Linked DNA regions of Arabidopsis thaliana. The protein of the gene in region 1 interacts with the protein of each later gene in a biochemical or structural test. Each region holds a gene or a part of one and is shown on either strand. Other genes may lie near its edges.

Region 1 (8,145 bases):
AAGAAGGAAGAATGGTTGGATCAAGCGCGATGATCGGATGGATTTCGAAAAAGGGTCACGCCAAAATCAAACAATACTATCTCCAAGGAACGGAGAGAGACCAAGTTGTGCCGGATCAAGGAGAATTGCAACTACAAAAAGTCCCGCCGGTGGTGGCTCTTCACGGAGCAATGATTTACTTAGCTTTCCAGGTGAAATTCGCCGTTAGAGTTCCTCGGAGAGCTGTCATTCTAGCGTTTAGCACTGCTTATCCTTCCAAGCTAGGCCGTTTGACTAAGCATGATGATAAAACTACAGTCATCGTCGATTTTTCCAAAGGTAATATAATGTATATACTAGTCTAATCTATACATGTTAAAAACAGGGGAGAGTTCAATAGTTGTATGTTCTTGGTCAATGCAGCTAGTGGAGCAACCTCCATAAAGACGACAACTTCTACGGAGAAGACAAAACATGGAGTAATGGCGATACTCGGATGGGGTTTCTTACTTCCTGTAGGGGCAATCCTAGCAAGATATCTAAGACATAAAGACCCTCTTTGGTACTATCTTCATATCGGTTTTCAGTTCACGGGCTTTATCTTCGGTTTAGCCGCAGTTATTCTTGGGATTCAGCTTTACAATAGGATCCAGCCGGATATACCTGCGCATCGAGGCATTGGGATCTTTCTTCTAGTCCTTAGCACTCTTCAGGTTTTGGCTTTCTTTGCACGGCCACAGAAGGAGACAAAGATGAGGAGATATTGGAATTGGTATCATCATTGGATTGGGAGGATCTCTCTCTTTTTTGGAGCAGTGAACATTGTTCTTGGAATTCGAATGGCGGATAATGGAGGAGATGGATGGAAAATTGGATATGGATTTGTTCTGTCAGTCACGTTACTTGCTTTTGTTGTTCTTGAAATATTCAGGATTCGTGGCACTATCGGCTCACCATCTTCTCGCAGCCCTCCCTCTTTTGAGACACATCCAAGTTCTAGTACTAGTGTTTGATTCAAGATCTTCTGTTTTTTTTTTCTTGTACATAAAGGTACTTTTTTTGTTTTCCCCATAATCATTGGTCACTGATTTTATAGTCCATATGTGTTGTAATTTTTTTTTTTTTTTTTTGGTTCGGCAATATGATTTTCAAGTGGAAATCGGTCTTGGTTTAGACTTTAGAGCAACATGGTGATATTTGTTTTTTTAAGGTTTGTTTCTTTTTGGATCTCAATTTGTTGTCATGTAAGTTGAGTTTTGAAGGTTGTTGTTCCTGGAAAGTGAAATATACGTAATTCTTTAATTCCTTATGAGTTTGTAAATGTGCATAGACGTCCCTAGACCCTAAGGCTAACATTATGGAGCGATTAACAAAAATATGGTCCTTTTGTATGCAAATGCAATCTCTCATCTTTCATATAAATCATGAACGTATAATTGGATGATAAGTTTTGAGTCTTATTTGAAATGAAAAAAGGATCATCTTCCTCCATTGTCTGGTAATGTCAAAATGTTGTTGCATGAGAAACATACAGTGTTCATATTGGGCCTAACTCGAAGTTGTTTCTTTTATTAATTGTCAAAATGTTCCACGAGAAACATCGTAGGCCCAATATGTAGCCCAACAAGCTTCGATTTTTCTAAATAAGTTGTGTGACAAGAAGAAAAACGAGAGAGTTATTTATTGATGCGCCACGTCAGATTTGATGAAAAGGAAGATTTCGACTTGGCGCTCTCGTACGCCTGAAAATTCGCAGTCTTCCCTCGTCCCCAATCCCTGGAGCCAAACACTGTTCCATTCAACCGCCACGTCAGCATATTCGTTTTTTTTATTTTCGTTTTTATTATTTGTTTAGGCGAATTAATTTCAGAATTAACCATAAAATAATAATAAGGAGAAATATATAAACCGACGACGGACGGTGTGTGTCTCCTTCATCAGAACACAAAGATCCTTCTCCTCCTCTTTTGTTTTCCCTTGCCGTCGATTTTAAGGTTTTATCTTCTCCGTACTGAAACCGACTGATAATTTTCTCCAGGGAATCTACGAGGAGGATTTGTTGTTTCTCCGTCGTTTTAGAGTTTAACGATTTCTCCGTCGTTTGATTTCTTAATTCTATCCTGTTGAGGGAAACGAGAATTTGGTTTTCGTTTTCGAATTTAGGGTTAGAGAAGCGGTTTCGCATTGGGTTCGTTGACTATTGAGCCAATTTGCGAGAGGAATTTAAACGTTACGAGTTTCTTCTTTTTCCTTCCGGAGGTCCGAAGTGCGAAATCTGTTTTGTTTGATGAAATTAGGGTTTTGGAATCGGAATTTGGATAGTCGTTTATGTTGAATAGGCGAGGATTGCTTAGGTAGGATATGATTTTGAAACGGACCTTGACGACATTCGAGAATCAGAATCTGAAGCGGTGCAAAATTGATTCAGAAATTGAGTATGGGAGGAAAAAGGGTGAGATTATAGTGTATAAGAAGAGACAAAGAGCAACCGTGGATCAACCATGTAGCAAAGAACCAGAACTTCTTACTAGTAGCTCAAGCTCCTTGACAAGCAAAGAAGAATCTCAACAAGTTTGCTCTGACCAGTCCAAGTCTTCGCGTGGCAGAGTTCGAGCGGTTCCTTCTAGGTTCAAGGACTCCATTGTTGGTACATGGAAATCTAGCCGTCGCAAGGGAGAGTCGACGGAGTCTAGTCATGATGACGACGACGTATCTCTGGGGAAGAAGGTCAAAGGTTTCAGTGGAAGCTCGAAATTGCATCGCAGCAAAGACTCGAAGGTGTTTCCACGTAAGGATAACGGAGACAGCAGTGAAGTAGATTGCGATTACTGGGATGTTCAAATTTCCTACGACGATGCTAACTTTGGTATGCCGAAAAAGTCCGACGCCTCGCGTAAGGGCGTGTACAAACCAGAGGAATTTACGGTTGGCGATCTTGTGTGGGCCAAGTGTGGGAAAAGATTCCCAGCATGGCCGGCTGTGGTGATCGATCCGATATCACAAGCGCCTGATGGGGTCTTGAAACATTGCGTCCCTGGCGCAATTTGTGTCATGTTTTTTGGGTACTCCAAGGATGGAACTCAGAGGGTAATCTCTTTAATCCTAATCTGTCTTCAAGCTGGCGTTTATTTTTACTATCTTTTTTTCTGAAAACTTGTGGTCATTAACAGGACTATGCATGGGTAAGACAAGGGATGGTGTATCCATTTACGGAATTTATGGACAAGTAAGTACATGAGACGCTCTTTCTGGAAATCTTTCATACTTGTGTGTTTGTTTCTTGTTCCTTACTAGTCTTTCATCTCTTCAGATTTCAGGATCAGACAAACTTGTTCAATTACAAGGCAAGTGAATTTAACAAGGCACTAGAGGAAGCAGTTTTAGCAGAAAATGGTAATTTTGGAGATGCTGAAATCATCTCCCCAGATTCCTCTGCGACGGAATCCGACCAGGACTATGGACCTGCTTCTAGATTTCAGGCACGTTTTCTTGACACATATTCCTTTTCTTTTTTTTGGTTAGATGTTCAAGTTTGCTCTTCTAATTGTTTTGGGAAGACAAAAGTAAATCAATTCTGGACAGTTCTATAAGCATCTTGTAGTGTCTACGTCTGGTGATATACTTTCTGTTCTAAGTCATGAAGTTTAAACATACTACATAGGCGTAGATGTACTGTTTGTATCTGACTCTTTTATAGTTACTGGAAATACCTTCCCCTAAACGATTTGCTGATTTAATTATTGTGTAGGGTTCATATCATGAGGACATAAGGACATGCGACGGTTGTGGCTCAGTAATGCCATTAAAATCTCTAAAAAGGACTAAAGACTCACAACCGGAAGAGCTTTTATGCAAACACTGCTCAAAGGTTCTTATCAAAACTTCCTCCCTCTTCAGTTTTCTTTGATCGACGGGAATTGAATCCAAATTTTTGTTTCAGTTGCGGAAATCCAATCAGTATTGTGGCATCTGCAAGAGAATATGGCACCCTTCAGATGATGGAGATTGGGTGAGAATATCTGTGACCATGTTTGGTGAAATACTGACCTGAGTAAGAAATTATAATATCTATATAGCTGACTTGATTTGATGTATTAGGTTTGTTGTGATGGGTGTGACGTATGGGTACATGCTGAATGCGACAACATTACGAATGAACGCTTTAAGGTGCCGTTATACATCGCCGTGCATCTTATCTTTTGATTTTAAGTATTGAAGACTATTGTCGAATGACTGTTCTAATTTGGTTTCATCTTAAGGAACTGGAGCACAACAATTACTATTGCCCTGATTGTAAAGTCCAACACGAGCTTACGCCAACAATATTAGAAGAACAGAACTCAGTGTTTAAGTATGTTGTTAACATCTCATGTTCTCTCACTTTAGTCTTCTCGAAAAAAATATCTTCTCCTGCTTTTATTATTTGCATTGTTCTATTGCTAATTCTTTAATTTGCAAAATTCCTCTTCACAACCTCTTTGGGACAGGTCTACAGAAAAGACAACAGAGACTGGGCTGCCTGATGCGATTACTGTAGTCTGTAATGGCATGGAAGGGACATATATCAGAAAATTTCATGCGTAAGTATTAGATGCATCATCTTTATTTCAATTTCCTCATTTGAGCAGGATTTTGTTTGTCCATGACTGTACAATGCAATGCCGTAAGATGATTTTTTCTCTGAAGACGACAATTCTGCGCTTGATCCTAGGCTTCTGTTACCATTCTCTTGTTGTTCCAGAGATTAAAACAACACATTTATCTTGGAACTATTGTTTTCAGAATTGAGTGCAAGTGTGGTTCATGTGGGTCAAGGAAGCAGTCACCAAGTGAATGGGAACGGCATACAGGCTGCAGAGCCAAAAAGTGGAAGTATAGTGTAAGAGTGAAAGACACAATGCTACCTCTAGAAAAATGGGTACATCCCTTATGCTTAACTCTCTCATAAACTTTCCCTTATATACCCCTGAAATTTACATGCATGATGTCTATAAGAAGTATAATACTGACAACAAGATATTACAGATTGCAGAATTCAGTACCTATACTCTAGAAACCCAGATGTTGGATAAGCAAAAGATGCTCTCTTTGCTAGAAGGTAGAGTATATCTTAATTCTTGGCGTCCTTCTTTTGGAGTTTAAAATTGCTAAGATACTTGCTTACTACTTATTTTATATGCACAGAAAAGTATGAGCCAGTCAGGGCTAAGTGGACGACTGAAAGGTGTGCTGTATGCAGATGGGTAGAAGACTGGGAAGAAAATAAAATGATCATCTGTAACAGGTTACTTTAATGGCATAATTTGGTTATACTGAATTCTACAGCGTTCTTATAACTAAACATGAGTCATAAATCTGACCAAATCTGTAAGCAGGTGTCAAGTGGCTGTGCACCAAGAATGTTATGGGGTAAGCAAATCTCAGGACCTCACTTCCTGGGTATGCAGAGCATGTGAAACACCAGACATTGAGAGAGATTGTTGTCTTTGTCCTGTAAAAGGTACTACTGCAGAATTAGCTCTCTTTATGATTTTTTTCCTGATCTTGCATTAGTGATGTTTTATTCTTGACTGTCCTGTCACAAGGTTCCATACAGTCATTCTGAGAATTCGCTTTTGGGTAGATGTGCTCTAAATTGAACTCACTTTCCATATTTCTAGTTCTTTCCTGAACTCTTCCATTATGTAGGTGGTGCTTTAAAACCAAGCGACGTTGAGGGTTTGTGGGTTCATGTAACATGTGCTTGGTTCCGACCGGAAGTTGGGTTTTTGAATCATGAAAATATGGAGCCTGCTGTTGGACTTTTCAAAATTCCAGCAAATTCATTTCTTAAGGTATAAATGAATGCTAGAAGTGGAAAGTATAACCAACATGTTCTATTAGAAGTTTTATTATATTATACATCATTCATATTTTCTGAAAATTCCTTTTAGGTTTGCACAATTTGTAAGCAGACACATGGTTCCTGCGTTCATTGCTGCAAGTGTGCAACTCACTTCCACGCAATGTGTGCATCACGGGCAGGTTACAACATGGAGGTTAGTCAAGTCCTTAAACTGCTTAGCCTCTGTGCTTATGATAATCTTCATTTTTCACGTTAAACCCCTTGCAAAGGTGTTCTGTCCTGTTAGTTAATCATCTTAGGGATGTGTAAGTGATGTTTTTGTCTATGGAATTTAGTTGCACTGCCTGGAAAAAAATGGTGTGCAGAGAACCAGGAAGTCAGTTTACTGTTCATTTCACAGGTTTGTTTCTCCGACATATTCTTTAACTGACCTGTTATGTGATACTGGGACCAACTGATCGCCTGTATCATTACTATGTAGAAAGCCAGATCCAGATAGTGTTGTAGTTGTGCACACACCCTCAGGAGTATTTGGCTCTAGAAATTTGCTTCAGAATCAATATGGGCGCGCCAAAGGTTCAAGACTCGTTTTGACCAAGAAGATGAAGCTTCCAGGTTTCCAAACCCAAACCCAAGCTGAACAGAGTCGTGTATTTGATTCTCTTTCTGCAGCAAGATGCCGTATCTATAGTAGATCAAACACAAAGGTATGCATCTGGGGATCTTGTTTATTCTTGGACGTTGGAGAGTCTTTCGTTATTAACTATTCCCTAGCAAAGCTACTACTTCATATCTTTTACTGCTGACGTTTCAGAAGATTGATCTGGAGGCTATATCCCACAGGCTTAAGGGACCAAGCCATCATTCTTTGAGTGCAATCGAGAATCTAAACTCTTTTAAGGCAAGTTTCTCATTCCGAGCTCCATTCATGTCAGTGTTTTGCTTTCTTGGGGCAACGTTTTCTGAATATCTTAGGAAGATCTTAATTTCCATTTACCTTGTTACACACCAGGAAGCAGATTTTACATCATTCAGAGAACGGCTAAAACATTTGCAGGTAAACATTGATTCATGAAGAGTTAATATTTTCTCCATCTTGTTATCCTAGAATATTTATAAACAATATATTATCTTCTTCAGAGGACAGAAAATTTTCGAGTCTGCTTTGGTAAATCTGGCATACATGGATGGGGTTTGTTTGCAAGGAAAAGTATTCAAGAAGGAGAAATGGTATTTAGTTTACGTTGTATTATTCGTGGTTTTGATATGGCTAAATTGAAATTCTTGAGGCAAACTAACTACTGATTATTAAAATTCTTGTGCAGATCATCGAGTATCGTGGGGTGAAAGTTAGGAGAAGTGTTGCAGATCTGAGAGAGGCAAACTATCGTTCGCAGGGCAAAGATTGTTACGTAAGTTCCGATTGCTTGCTTGCTTAGATTAAAACATTAACCGCTGCATCTAATAAGTAACTTATTGTCTAACAACAACAACGCAGCTATTCAAGATAAGCGAAGAGATAGTAATTGATGCCACAGACTCTGGGAACATCGCACGATTGATCAATCATTCAGTAAGTTCCCTAAATTGGCACACGAGATCAAAACCTGGTAATTAATACTAAGGATGTTTATGTCTTGTGCAGTGTATGCCCAATTGCTATGCTCGTATAGTGAGTATGGGTGATGGAGAAGACAACAGAATCGTCCTCATTGCAAAAACCAATGTCGCAGCTGGGGAAGAGCTTACGTAAAACATTTCTTCAGCTTCTCTTTTCATAAGATATAGATTAAATCCATATGCATTATTAACCTTGATCATGAAAACCTATTTCTCTACAGGTATGATTATCTCTTTGAGGTTGATGAATCTGAAGAGATCAAAGTGCCCTGCCTTTGTAAAGCTCCAAACTGCCGCAAATTCATGAACTAGAGCTCTCTTAAGTCTAAACCATTCTTGCAAACGTTCAAACTTGCTTTCTAATTGAACAGTAATGGCGGTGGGAAGCTAACCGATTTGTTTCCTCGGCGGCTAGCTTACGGGAAATCCCTTGACATGATGCTGGCTTCTTTCCGATTGATTCATTAAATGTACATTCAGCTAGATACTTTTCCGGCGTAGCAATTTTGTAAATGTCTAGAATTCACCGACTCTAAGAAAATAACTTCACAGCCAACAACCTAAAGTTCCAAAATGTTGAAGTGTTAATATAGCTTTTAACATTTTCCATAATACAGTTTCTGAATTTTCTATTAAAAAAAATCCATACTATCTTGATTTTTCATAATCATGGAAACCACACTCACTGGGACCCTCTCGGT
Region 2 (3,736 bases), on another chromosome or scaffold:
ATCTAAGAATATATATTACCCATTAAGAAATAAATGAAAGAGAGAATAAAATCCACAGCATTATATAAATATTGTAGCCCTGGGAGTTCGGATATATCGGTTTAATCGGTTCGGTTTATTTAGTTTTTCGGGGTTTTTGGATTTTTTAATTTCTAGCCGAATTGAACCGAACAAAAATTCGGTTCGGGTCGGTTCGGACATCGGTTTTTTCGGTTCGGTTATTGGGTATAAATTAAATTCCGGATTAAACCGATTTTTTTTCTAATTCGGTTAATTTGAACCAAATAAACCACAAATTAAAAAAATGGACTTACAAAAATGAAATCTAATAAAAAACAAACAACAGGCCCAATACACAAATATACAGTTACAATTACAAATCCACAACACAATTATGGGTCAGGTCCATTACAAAATTAGGGTTTTGAGTTTTGACAAAAAAAATATGTACGACTACAACTCCAAACTGCGACGTCGAGCAGTGCCTCTCCAATCTAGTGATCTACCATTCCGACGACGTAATGCCCTACGAGACCTGTTAAACGCCCGTTTGTTATCCATGAAGTAAGAAAAAACATGAGATGGAAGTGTAAACCATAAAAGATCCATAAAAATAATGGATAATCTCAGATTTGGAAGTGTAAAGCCTAACTCTAAAATTTCAGAAATTATAGAGACAGAGGAAGAGCTTAGAGAGCAAAGAATCAAACAAAACAAATGATTAAAGAGAAATAAGAAGAGTTTACCCTAAGAAAGTTGAGGTTGTGGGTTGAATCTCTGAGCAAAGGTTTTTTGTAAGACCAACTGAGATTAGAGAGAATGAAAGAGGCTTGGAAGATGATGAATTCATGAAGGAGAAGAGACGAGTTGATGATTACTAATTCAATCGAAGAAAAATATCAAAGTTTCTTTGTTGTTTTCGCAAGAGGCAGAGAGCCAAAAACGAAGAAGAAACCTAATTAGGTTAAGACTCATCAATTAACCTTATATATGGCTGCAGATTCTCGGTATGGGTGAAACCGATTGGTTCCGATTACCGAACCGACCCGAACCGACTTCCGAATTCTTAAATTAATTTGGCCGATCGGTTCGATCTCCTTAATTCGGTTGCTGCCGAAAACCAAAATTTTCGTTTTTTTCGGTTCGGTTTTCTCGGGTTGAACCGTTATCCCAGGCCTAAAATATTGTATGACTCTTGACCAAAAACTAGTTAGATATATTATTTATTATGACATATTAATATTAACTTAATATAAAATAAAAATAAATGTTCAAAAAACATGATCTTAAAGCTGACAAAGCTGATTTGATTGACTAATACTTATCCTACGGTGATTTTTGGTTCTTTTACTTTTTTTGACAATTATGGAGCTGGATGGAAAAAAAATATATATAAAATCATATATTATTAATAATGAGATAAATACAACGAATTAAACGGATCAAAGTTAATATTTCCAAAAGAAAAATAGAACAGAGTCCTAATTTCATTAATTTCAACTATTGAAAACAAAATTTAAAATCAATAGGATTGATTTCTATTTTTCTTTTAGAAAAACAAAATTTGAAACAATTTCCTAATTTCCCTAAACTTGCGACTTTTTAACAATCGACCGACTTATCAAAATTAGGGATTGTTTTATATATAAAGAGAGACGCATCTCTTTATTTCATTCATCGCTTCTCCAAAATTTTCTTCAAAGAACAAATCTCCCAAATCTAAAATCTTTCTCTTCTCTCTTCGTTTCCATAACCATGTCTGCGAAGAAGATTGTGTTGAAGAGTTCCGATGGTGAATCTTTCGAGGTTGAGGAGGCGGTGGCTCTCGAGTCACAAACCATAGCGCATATGGTTGAAGACGACTGCGTCGACAACGGAGTCCCTCTTCCTAACGTCACGAGCAAGATCCTCGCCAAGGTGATCGAGTATTGCAAGAGGCACGTCGAGGCTGCTGCCTCTAAGGCCGAGGCCGTCGAGGGTGCTGCTACCTCCGATGACGATCTTAAGGCCTGGGACGCTGATTTTATGAAGATCGATCAAGCTACTCTCTTTGAACTCATTCTGGTATGTTTCTTCTCTCGATCTGATTTGATTTTTCCATCGAATTTTGAATTTTGGGATTCTAGGGTTTTCGATTTGGGAAAATTAGGGTTTCGAAATTTAGGTGTTTGTTTCAGAAATTGAATCTGCTTGAGATTGATATTGTTAGGGTTCTTATGGAACCAATCATTAATTGAATCTATCGATTTGGATTATAATCATATCTGTGTTTTTGGATTCGGATTTTGATCTAATGGTTATGAATTTGGGATCTTGTGCAGGCTGCTAATTACCTGAATATCAAGAACTTGCTTGATCTAACATGTCAGACAGTTGCGGATATGATCAAAGGAAAGACTCCAGAAGAGATCCGCACAACGTTCAACATTAAGAACGACTTCACACCAGAGGAAGAGGAAGAGGTTCGCAGAGAGAACCAATGGGCTTTTGAATGATTGATCTTCAGAGAGAAGAATCAAAAGCAGCAAGCAACCAGTTTCTTCTTCCTTATGTTTATTGCCGTTTTCAAGTGTTGTTGATGACTTGCTTTTTAATATTCTTCATGAATCATGACTATCTTCTTCCTCTTCTTTCTTTCTTATCAAGAACCAATGTTTCTTACTCTTTGTGGGATGGATAATTTGTGCTTTTAGATAATCTTCAAGAGTGATGTTGGTTTGTCTTACAAAATAACTTCTTTCAATTGTCTTGCCAATCGCCACAGAATGCTAATTTGCACGATTCATTTTAGGAATGTTCATGTGTAAATAAAAAGAAACTGAATTTGGCAGAGTCTGCAAGCAGAATGTGAAGGATCATGACGACTACTCATTGAAACCAATGGTCACCAGTTATGCCCTGCTCCTGCTCATCTACTTACATAAATATCTGCATCACGTATTTGTATCTTGTCAACATCTTCTCAAATACTAACATAATCAGCATCACCCATTCGTCAACATTCGATAACATGTGGGCTTTGTTTGCATATAAGAAAACAAAGTTTCCACTCAACCGAACGTGGATCACATGTACATCAATATAATTACTTTAATTGTTTGTCTGGCTAGTCAAGTGGTCTCTCGTCTCGTCATTGTGTATCTTATCTTTACTATGAGACTGAAAGAGATATCTTCTTTATATACAGTAACACTCACATTGTGGTCACTCGAAAAGAGCTAAAGAAAATGGAAGATTTGAAGCCAAGTGCCGCTAACTCGTTACCATTGACACTGTTAGGCTTTCTTGAGAGAGCAGCCACCGTGTATGGAGACTGTACCTCCATCGTTTACGGCAATTCCACCGTGTACACATGGCGAGAAACGAATCACCGTTGCCTCTGCGTCGCGTCTGCTCTGTCTTCCATTGGAATAGGAAGATCCGACGTTGTCTCTGTCCTATCTGCTAATACTCCGGAAATGTACGAGCTCCAGTTTTCCGTTCCGATGTCTGGCGCGATCCTTAACAACATCAATACCCGCCTCGACGCGCGAACCGTCTCTGTTCTTCTCCGCCATTGCGAGTCTAAGCTGCTCTTCGTCGACTTCTTTTACTCCGATCTCGCTGTCGAAGCGATCACGATGTTGCTCAATCCGCCGATTCTCGTCCTAATCGCCAATGAGGAGGAGGAAGAAGGAGGAGCTGAAGTAACGGAGCGTTCAAAATTCTGTTACTTGTACAGTGATCTAATCACTAG

Evidence for each region.
Region 2: the proteins of SDG14 (region 1) and SKP1 form a complex in vitro, tested with the Arabidopsis thaliana proteins (one study listed by BioGRID).

Annotation. Positions count from the first base shown.
Region 1 is NC_003074.8:22,850,744-22,858,888, reverse strand, and holds SDG14 (SET domain protein 14), read left to right. Parts: upstream 1-1,916; 5' UTR 1,917-2,340; coding exon 2,341-3,066; intron 3,067-3,149; coding exon 3,150-3,205; intron 3,206-3,289; coding exon 3,290-3,458; intron 3,459-3,727; coding exon 3,728-3,847; intron 3,848-3,919; coding exon 3,920-3,988; intron 3,989-4,077; coding exon 4,078-4,146; intron 4,147-4,238; coding exon 4,239-4,330; intron 4,331-4,466; coding exon 4,467-4,559; intron 4,560-4,761; coding exon 4,762-4,897; intron 4,898-5,004; coding exon 5,005-5,077; intron 5,078-5,163; coding exon 5,164-5,263; intron 5,264-5,354; coding exon 5,355-5,479; intron 5,480-5,667; coding exon 5,668-5,813; intron 5,814-5,912; coding exon 5,913-6,017; intron 6,018-6,159; coding exon 6,160-6,224; intron 6,225-6,305; coding exon 6,306-6,531; intron 6,532-6,638; coding exon of another isoform or gene 6,639-6,641; coding exon 6,642-6,881; intron 6,882-6,964; coding exon 6,965-7,054; intron 7,055-7,149; coding exon 7,150-7,236; and 8 more. Other genes in the region: AT3G61750 (Cytochrome b561/ferric reductase transmembrane with DOMON related domain-containing protein), read left to right, coding at 1-318, 403-992. UniProt on the Arabidopsis thaliana protein: Histone methyltransferase.
Region 2 is NC_003070.9:28,514,960-28,518,695, forward strand, and holds SKP1 (S phase kinase-associated protein 1), read left to right. Parts: upstream 1-1,559; 5' UTR 1,560-1,755; coding exon 1,756-2,064; intron 2,065-2,321; coding exon 2,322-2,495; 3' UTR 2,496-2,937; downstream 2,938-3,736. Other genes in the region: AT1G75945 (uncharacterized protein), read right to left, coding at 454-535, 747-850; AT1G75960 (AMP-dependent synthetase and ligase family protein), read left to right, coding at 3,228-3,736. UniProt on the Arabidopsis thaliana protein: Involved in ubiquitination and subsequent proteasomal degradation of target proteins. Together with CUL1, RBX1 and a F-box protein, it forms a SCF E3 ubiquitin ligase complex. The functional specificity of this complex depends on the type of F-box protein.